2 linked regions of the Oryza sativa Japonica Group genome follow. The protein of the gene in region 1 binds, or shares a complex with, the protein of each later gene. Links are inferred from orthologs where the notes say so. Each region holds a gene or a part of one and is shown in the gene's direction. Other genes may lie near its edges. The genes, in order: DNA topoisomerase 3-alpha and recQ-mediated genome instability protein 1.

Region 1 (4,539 bases):
TTGTGCTTTTGTTTTCGGGGCACTGGAGAAATCAAGTACACCTTTAAATTTTCAGGTACTCTTCAAACCAAACTCGTCTCTCTCTCTCTCTCACACACACACACACACACCAAAAAAAAAAAACTGTGCTTCCTCCCTTCTATGTTTTGTCAAGACATTGTGTAGTGGTAGTACATTGTGTAGTCCCACAGTGATCTGAACCACCGTTTGAGATCAGGAAAAGGATTCAATTTGGCAATGACTGTACAGTTTATTCTCACTTGTATTAATTACTTATCTTCACTTCAGTTGTTTGTTCCTGTTCAGGGAACCAGAAGTTTGGAAGATCACTGGAAAATCCTAGTTGGTGAGAGATATTAGTACACAAAGCATCGTGATGTCTGAGATATCTACATATAACATACAGATTCCATAATGATCTGCGAGGTTATTTGCTATTACTGGATCTTCCTTACGTCAAAGATGTTTCTTTTAGTCATGCCATGATACAGACAGACGAGTACTGCTTGCTAAGGAGTCACAATCAACAGAACGTGATTGATCAGAAGGAAACGGCAAGTGAGTTCAGGAAAAGGTAACATTCAAAACAATTATAAAAAAGATGTCATATTGAAAACAACTCTGCACAAATCAGGGCAATCAAAACTTCTGTACAAAAAGAACAAATGAATTGGCTGTGGAGGGTTAAAAGGGCTCCTTAAGAATAACCTCTAGAAGAACAGGAAAAGAACAGAAAAGAAAGAAAAAAAAAATGAATATTGTACATGTACATGTTTCAAAGCTCTCATGGTGTTTGGCATCTTCTTCCAGGATTGTTAGGATCATTGGTGCATCCAGATGCACCTGGCTTTGCTGAAGTTAAGAACACCGTGCTTCCCTGTCGTGGCTGCGATCTCGCTCCCAGCAATCTGGATGCATGACTGATGGTGATTGTGGTGCTGAAGATCAGCATGAAAATGAGAGCTAGAGGCAGAACTTGCTGTCTTCTGATCGGCATAGTTGAGCAGCTGACCTCCTGGTATGTTCTGAATTCTTGTGGAAGGCGAGTTACGAAGGCTGAAAAACTGGGGTGAATATAAAGACTGTGTCAACACGTATATGTTCATATGTTGTATAAATTTATAATGCTCTTGAGCGCGTTTGGTTCCTTGTGTGTCAAGCTTCGATGTGCCTACCCGAGGGCTCGACGCGTTGTCGCGGTCAGCTACGACTTGCAAAACCATTCATCACGTGGTTTTCATGTAATTGTAAACCTTGACCTTCGCATAAGAGAGCTTGACCTTTGGCATAAGAGAGTCTTCGTGTAGAATTCATACGAAATCCCTTTCACAGTTTCAACATTCCAGAGTTTTAAGTGCATGATCATTCAATACTATTCCGTACTCTCCAAGGCTCAGTAAGGAATGCTAAATCTCTCGTTTTCTTCATGTTAAAGAGGATGCAGCTTGAATGGTCGAATTCACAATTGACGGCTCCACCCCAAAAAAGTTCAGGATGACTCGAAGTCGAATCCGCGTAATACGCTGGCGAAAATTGAATGGGCCAAATGTAGCCCATATCCATTTTATTCATGGGTCTTTGAACAATTGAGCTCGAAAGCCCAGCTCTCTCTCGTGAAAAGCTTAACCGACCTAGCTCTCGAGGGCGCGCTCAGAACCAAAAATTTCGAAAAGGTAAGGCCGAAATCGCCGCCTCCTCCCTCCGGTTTCTCCCCCTCCCAGAGCGTAGCCTGCGCCTCCTCTCGCGATGCACCACGGCGGCGGCGGCGGCGCGATCCGCGTGCTGAATGTGGCGGAGAAGCCGTCGGTGGCGAAGTCCGTCGCGGAGATCCTGTCGCGGCCGTCGGGCGGGATGCGGTCGCGGGAGGGGCGGTCACGGTACAACCGCGTCTTCGAGTTCGATTACTCCATCGGCGGCCGCGCCTGCCACATGCTCGTCACCTCCGTCACGGGGCACCTCATGGAGCTCGAGTTCGACGACCGGTTCCGCCGCTGGCACTCGTGCGACCCCGCTGATCTCTTCCACGCCCCCGTTCGCAAGTCCGTACCCCAGGTACGGCTCTCTGTTTCCTGCTACCCATTTCTCCGAACAGTTGGTGCGCAACGCGCGGTGTCCTGTGAATTGTGCCCTCACCAGTCACGTGTCGTTTTTTGCATGGTGTGGTCTCTTAGTGTCTTGCGTCCATGGAGTTGGCTGTGTTTAACTCACGGTGAAATGTGCGGCACTGAAATTTCGTTGACTAGTTTATGTTCGTGCGTTTGGTGGTGTACTGTACCTGGATTCCAGTTCGTGGGGGCCTGAGGGTCTAATAATGAGTACCTGATTTGTACTATCAATGGATGCGTCTGCTGATTTTGTTTAGGGTACTGCACTTAAGGAACTCTATTCTAGGGTTCTTCAGGAGCTTGATCGGGGGACATCGCATGATTGCTACTCGTTTTTGAATTGGGAACCACTAGTGCTGCTGGTCATTTGCACTGTTGCGCAGCAGCAATCTGGTTCCAGTCATATACGTCTGTGTGTTGTACTATACATGTGATACATTAAGTTATTGTTATTGTGATAGGAAGAGGGATACAGTAATGCATAAACTGTCCTATTTGGTTATTTTGAAAAACTGAAGGCTATACTTGCTATTGCTGGTATAAGAGGGTAGTTGTATGCCGGGCTGGCCGACCTAGTATGATTATATGAACACCCTGGCAGATACTATTCTCAGGCCTCAGGAAGTCGGGCTTTTGTTCTGAAATTAAAGTTTATCCTACAACATCATTTATCTTGCAGAAAAATTAGTAAACTAGAGGCAGAAGTTAAACAGATATACAAGTTTCCTCTCATTCTTCCGTTCTTCCAGCATCAGGAGAACAAGATGCTACTCTTTTTGTCGGTTGCACTGCCACAACCATGCTGGAGCTTGCTTGTTGTATGTGATTTGGTGTAGCAGTATGTTTTCTCCATAGTCATCATTGATCTGATAGATTGCCTATGTATCTTTTCCTTTTGTCTTTTTAGAATCTCCTATCTTAGATGGATTTATTGGGTAACATGCAGGCATGCCTTAAATTGCTGAGAATGACCATGCTCATTTGTCTATTTGCCCAAACACGTGATCTGTTTTTGTGTTTTGATGCTAGTGGTATGGTCTGATGGTAATGAAGTTATAATTACTGCTCCAGTTTCTTTTTTTTTCAGCTGAGGTATATTCATTTTTTTAATTAATTGCAGGATAAGCAAGACATAAAAAGAACATTGGAAGAGGAAGCCAGGAAGTGTCAGTGGCTTGTGCTTTGGCTTGATTGTGATAGAGAGGGTGAGAATATCGCATATGAAGTGATTGATATATGCGCAGGTGCCAACAGCCGCCTCAACATTTGGAGAGCTCGTTTCTCAGCTTTGATTGACAGGTATTTGTTGCTACTGATGACTTTCTCTTCTTGATTGCAAAGATGGCATATCCATCTCCTGCATCGCACGGGTATCCCCATTCACTTCACATCCGGCCCGATTGGTGTTACTTTGAGTTAGTTGTATGGAGATGAACTATGGTGTTCAAGTTGACTGGATAAACCCGACCCACAGTCCCACACTCATCCCAAATCTCCTGTTAATGTCTTAAAGAAATGAAACTGCAGGGAAATCCATGAAGCTGTGCAACATCTTGACAGACCCAACAAGCTCTTTGCTGATGCTGTTGATGCAAGACAGGTAATTAAATTATCATTCCAACCTTTGTTGATGTTGCATTCTCTTGCATCACATCTACTGAGAAGTACTACAGCAACTCTAGCAAACTAAGGTCCTCGAAGAGCCTCTGCCACATGTTCTGACTATAATATTATAGCTTTTGTACTGGTATAGGAATGGAATGGGACGACGGTATATTTTCTCCTTCTTATATTATTCTTCTCAAATGAAAAGCATTTTCTTGCACCTTCTTAGTGTCTTGAAGATCTCCGATGATTATTAAGAATTTTGTACAGGAAATTGACCTTCGCATCGGTGCCTCCTTCACAAGGTTCCAGACAATGCTGCTGAAAGATGCATTTGTTCTTGATGACACTGGTGATGATAGGAATATAATTCTGAGTTATGGTCCTTGCCAGGTACTTCACTATAGAGTATGAACAGAAGATACTAAATGATGCCTACTTTCATCTTGGTGTAACATGTTCTTTGCATTGCAGTTTCCAACCCTAGGATTTATTGTTGAGCGTTTCTGGGAGATTCAAGCTCATGAACCTGAAGAGTTCTGGACAATAAATTGTTCCCACACTTCAGATGAAGGCACTGCATCTTTTGGTTGGATGTAAGATGCACTCGACATGTTGTACTGATTCTTTCATTACAAACGTCATCTGAGATTATTTCTTGTTTGGCAGACGTGGTCATTTGTTTGATTACTCATCTGCTGTTGTGATCTATGAAATGTGTGTTGAAGAACCAATGGCGACAGTGAGCCCTTGACATCTTTTATTTCAACACCAATGTTCACGAAATAATAACGATAAGTATCTTTGATGACAGAACAAAAGTACCAGT
Region 2 (4,501 bases), on another chromosome or scaffold:
GAGCTGAATTACCATCTATACGCACTGTGAATAGCCTTATGGCCAAAGCCCAAACATGATGATCAATCCGGACGAAAGACCGATAAACATGATGATGACGAAAGATCGAGGTCCCGCGTGTTCAAGTTCCTGACGAGAATGCCAAGCAAAGAAAAAGACAAAAGAAAAAAAGATGCGTCTGCCGGGAGTCGAACCCGGGTCTATTGCTTGGAAGGCAATTATCCTAACCGTTGGACTACAGACGCTTTTTGTTTTAATCGAGTACTACATGATTATTATTACAATGTCCAACTAAATACTCTCAAAAGTCACTTCAATATGATCTCATGTATATTTTAAAAATTTTATTTTTGTGGCTACGATGCTCTAGGAACAGTGGAGTTATGAAATGTGTAAAACTATATGTATACATAAAAGTATATTTAACAATAAATCAAATGATGGGAAAAGAATTAATAATTACTTAAATTTTTTGAATAAGACGAACAGTCAAACATATTTAAAAAAGTCAACGGCGTCAAACATTTAGGGAAGGAGGGAGTACATGTTTTAACTTTTAATATGTGGAGGAGTTGATATATCCGACTGAGTAAAACAAATCAAATTTAACATTAGAGTGAATTGTATTTTAGACCACTTATTATTGTCATAGTTTCACTTAGAACTAGGCTATGTTTCATGTCTTTCACTTTGGATGGGGAATTTGTTACCTTCTATTGCACATTGGATCATTCTTGTGTTCCATGCCTCTAACCTAGCTACTTTTGCTGCCACTCACTATTTCCTTGGCTCACCAGTAACTAAACACACCCATCAATACTCTATCATAATCATTCAGGACCTTGATTTTTTTCCTTTTGGCTCCTTTTCTCCCTCCAACATCATGTGAGCTGGAAAAAATCACTTGATTGTGAGATCACAGGCAACAACCGCAGCAGCGAGCAGCCATGTGGTTTGGTTTTGTGAGTTCGAGCTCAGGAATGGATCCGAGAGAAGGAATCCTAGTCATGTGTTTGTTCGAGTTGATCCATAGCAGCATCTCAATGGTGAAAAAACCAGAAGAAGAGAGATGGAGAAGAAAGTCAGTCCAGTTTGAAACTTTTGCAAAATCACCTAGTCCAAAGCGAAAAGATTTGTCTACCCTTAGTCCAAAATGAAACATGGGTAAAAAGTACTACTCCCTCCATTTCATATTATAAGGCTTTCTAGCATCATTAACATATATATGAATGTGGGCAATGCCACAATGCTAGAAGGTCTTACAATATGAAACGGAGGAAGTAGCTCAAAGTGCAATTCACTCTTTTAACATGTCCTGGAGGGAGTCAATTTGGACTTCTTTTCCTTACCCTTTTCCCTATTTAGGCCTCCTCACCCAGGCCGACAATATCCCAACCTTCCAGGCTTCCAGCCCATCTCGGTCCAAAAATTCGGCACTGACATATGGGCCCCACATGTCATCCCCAACTTTCCCCCCTTCCAAAACCCTCTTCCCCTCATTTCCAAACTTTGGAGGGAAACCACCAAAATCTCCCAAACCCCACGATCAACCAACAAAAATTTCTCCCCCAAAATGAGGCGCCGAAACCTAATCATCACCTCCGACTCCGACTCCGACGACGGCGGCGGCGGCGGCGGCGCGGCCACCGCCTCCACCCCCGCGTCCGCCTCGGCGTCCGCCTCCTTCCCGAGCGTAAGCGGCGGCGGCTGCGGCGATGGCTGGCCCTCGCCGCAAAACCCTAGGTCAGTCCCCGTTCAGTTCCCCTCCCCGTCCTCGCCTCCCCCTTCCCCTCCCATAGAGATTTCCGATGAGGAGGAGGCGGAGGCGGAGGTGGTGGTGGAGGAGGAGGAGGTGGTGGTGGTGGAGGACGAGGAGGAGGAGTATGAGGAGGTGGAGGAGATCGAGGACCCCGATGGGGACTCCCCCTTCGTCGACGCCCCCGAGCACATCTCCCCTCCGCCGCCCCCTCCGCCTCCGGCGCGAACGCCGATGCCGACGCCGACGCCGACCCCGACCCCGACCCCGACCCGACCCCCCGTTCCCGTGTGGGCTGCCCCTCTTCCGGCCCGAACCCCAACTCCTACTCCATCTGCGCCGCCCCGAGCCGCGGCGCCATCCCCTGCGGGAACCCCGTCGCCGTCCCCGATTCCGCCGTCGAGCACCCCGGTGTCTGCGCTGAGCGGGCCGCTGCGGCAGGTGGACGAGTTCCTGAGGGGGCTCGGGCTGCGGCTGCGCCCGGAGTGGCTCGAGTCCTGCGCCGCCGGGGTACCCGGGTTCTACGGCCTCGGCGGCGTGGAGGCGATGGCCAGGCGGTGCTTCGAGCAGTTCCTCTTCGCCGACATGAACGCGTGCGGCGCGGGCGTGCTCCCGGAGGGCGTTGGGAGCATGCACAACGCCGTCCTCGATGGCCCCCTCGTGCTGCAGGTTATACCATTTTCTCTTTACTTAGAATGCGTGGTTAAATTTTTTGGTCATACTTTTGTTACTGAGCTCTAGGTTCCCTATACCTGTACTGCTGTGGTGCCGCCTAGTGTGGCATGCTTGGTGTGATCTGCGGAATTTTGGAAGGCACTTAAGATCAAATATCTGCTAGTATTTTCAGGGAATAAATATGTGCTTCAAGCTTGAGCCCGTCGATGTTTACTTGTTTCAGTTCGGTAGTTCATGATTCATCTGACACTCAATAGAATGGAAAGCTGTGGTTTTCTTCTTTTGTATATCAACTCATCAAGTGTGCCATGAGTGCTGAATTTCGTAGCACAAATGGTACCGCGCCGAAATAAACATGATTTTGATAGCACAGTAAATTGCTTATTCTGAAAAGTAGTTGTCAGTTCCTGTGTATTTCTTTCCTAGCACTGATGCCTTTATACGTCTTGTAAGTTCAATTTCCAATCTCCATACAGGCATACACTAGCTCATGCCATATTCAATAATTTTTTAACTTTAGCATACACTAATTGTACATTGTTGTAGTTTTGCATTTTTTTTTGTGATAATGTGTTCTGGGGTTTTCCTTTTGTTCTTTTTTTCCTATGGTTTAACTGACTCTTGAGTTTGTAAGGTTGATGAGATTGTCAACCTGTCAGCTCCTTTAAGGGAAAGATATCGTGATGCACATGCGGGGCCCAAAAGATGTTTAAAGTTATCAATGACAGATGGGATCCAACGCATATATGGAATGGAATACAGGCCGATCAAAGACCTGGAAGTTCTTGCCCCTGCTGGTTTTAAGGTCATTGCTTTCTCTGTTCCTTTTTCTTCAGAACATTTGTATTTTGCGTTCATTTTATTAGTTTACATTTAAAAATTATCAGTGAATTTTTTTTTCACACAACATAGTTAGATTTATCCATTAGCATTCAATATAGCAAACTAATTATCACAAAACTCTGGTTTTTCCCTCCTAGATAGTAGCTTCCATGGTCACTGGTGCTCTGTTAGACTCCCTGCCTTTTCAATTTACTTTTCTCTTAAGAAATGGTTTCTGGAGACAGGCTTCTACAATTAAACGATAAATGCTTATCAATCTATGTAAACAATTTGATTGCGAACAAACTATTGACTAAGTGATAATACAAAATAGTGTGACTGGAAGAGACATTTTTTCCATTTGCTATTTTTTGTATCAACAGCTCATAACTTGTCAACACATCTCAGATTGTTATAAGAAATGTGCACATAAGGAGAGGCCTTTTTATGCTGGTGCCCGAGGTCATTGAGATTCTTGGGGGTGTTGATGATGAACTGGATGAAGCACGTAATAGGCTTGTTTCTGAAGTAAACAAACCGCCACGTGGCAAAAGGTATATGTTGTGCATTAGTGAATTGAGCAGATTTACATACATGACATTTAATTGCAACACATGCTTCAAACTTGGATTTTAAGCAATGACTTGAGAGTTATTTTTGCGAATATCCTAGTAGTTGGATAAATCATATCATTCAAATGCAAATGTGCCTGTTTAGGATCTGTGGTAGTGGCCTTTCTGTGGTAATGGTGGGAGCCATATGCTGGGAGGTCCTTTATGAACAACGGAACTTTCTTTGCCTTCCATTTCTTTTCAATTTCATGGAATTTATTTAGCTTCTAAGTTTAAACAAAACAAATACTCAATGTTCACATCTATCCAGTCAGTTGCATGCCAGAAATTTTGTTTTTCAATGTGTATATAACATTTCTTGACAGGACACTGCTTGTTTGTTCACAAGTCACAACTCTTCATGCTGCAGGAAACAAGGTGGATTACCATTGTCTTCGAGAGCCACTCTAGCAGCCTGGCCAACAAATGCCAATGCTACAAATGATGCCGAGCAAGGAGCCTCAGTGCCAAGAACAGTGAATACCCCTCATCCAACCAGATTAGGTACTATATAGATTTCATTGATAGATTGATTGTGTGGCGAACTAGCTTTTGTTCTTAGAAAGAATGGAAACTGAATTATAAATTAGTAGTAATTGTTTTGCTGGAACACAGAGCATTGCTATAACGTGGCCGT

What was found.
Region 2: DNA topoisomerase 3-alpha (region 1) and recQ-mediated genome instability protein 1 share a complex: the UniProt entries of both Arabidopsis thaliana proteins name them as parts of the RMI complex. The link is inferred for Oryza sativa Japonica Group from reciprocal best matches to the Arabidopsis thaliana genes TOP3A and RMI1.

What each region holds. Positions count from the first base shown.
Region 1 is NC_089037.1:3,507,041-3,511,579, reverse strand, and holds the start of DNA topoisomerase 3-alpha, read left to right. Parts: upstream 1-1,646; 5' UTR 1,647-1,746; coding exon 1,747-2,052; intron 2,053-3,225; coding exon 3,226-3,404; intron 3,405-3,632; coding exon 3,633-3,705; intron 3,706-3,980; coding exon 3,981-4,103; intron 4,104-4,184; coding exon 4,185-4,306; intron 4,307-4,379; coding exon 4,380-4,452; intron 4,453-4,539. UniProt on the Arabidopsis thaliana protein: Releases the supercoiling and torsional tension of DNA introduced during the DNA replication and transcription by transiently cleaving and rejoining one strand of the DNA duplex.
Region 2 is NC_089038.1:19,598,594-19,603,094, reverse strand, and holds the start of recQ-mediated genome instability protein 1, read left to right. Parts: upstream 1-1,500; 5' UTR 1,501-1,573; coding exon 1,574-2,425; intron 2,426-3,065; coding exon 3,066-3,236; intron 3,237-3,661; coding exon 3,662-3,807; intron 3,808-4,234; coding exon 4,235-4,368; intron 4,369-4,501. UniProt on the Arabidopsis thaliana protein: Essential component of the RMI complex, a complex that plays an important role in the resolution step of homologous recombination, in a process called Holliday Junction dissolution, to limit DNA crossover formation in cells.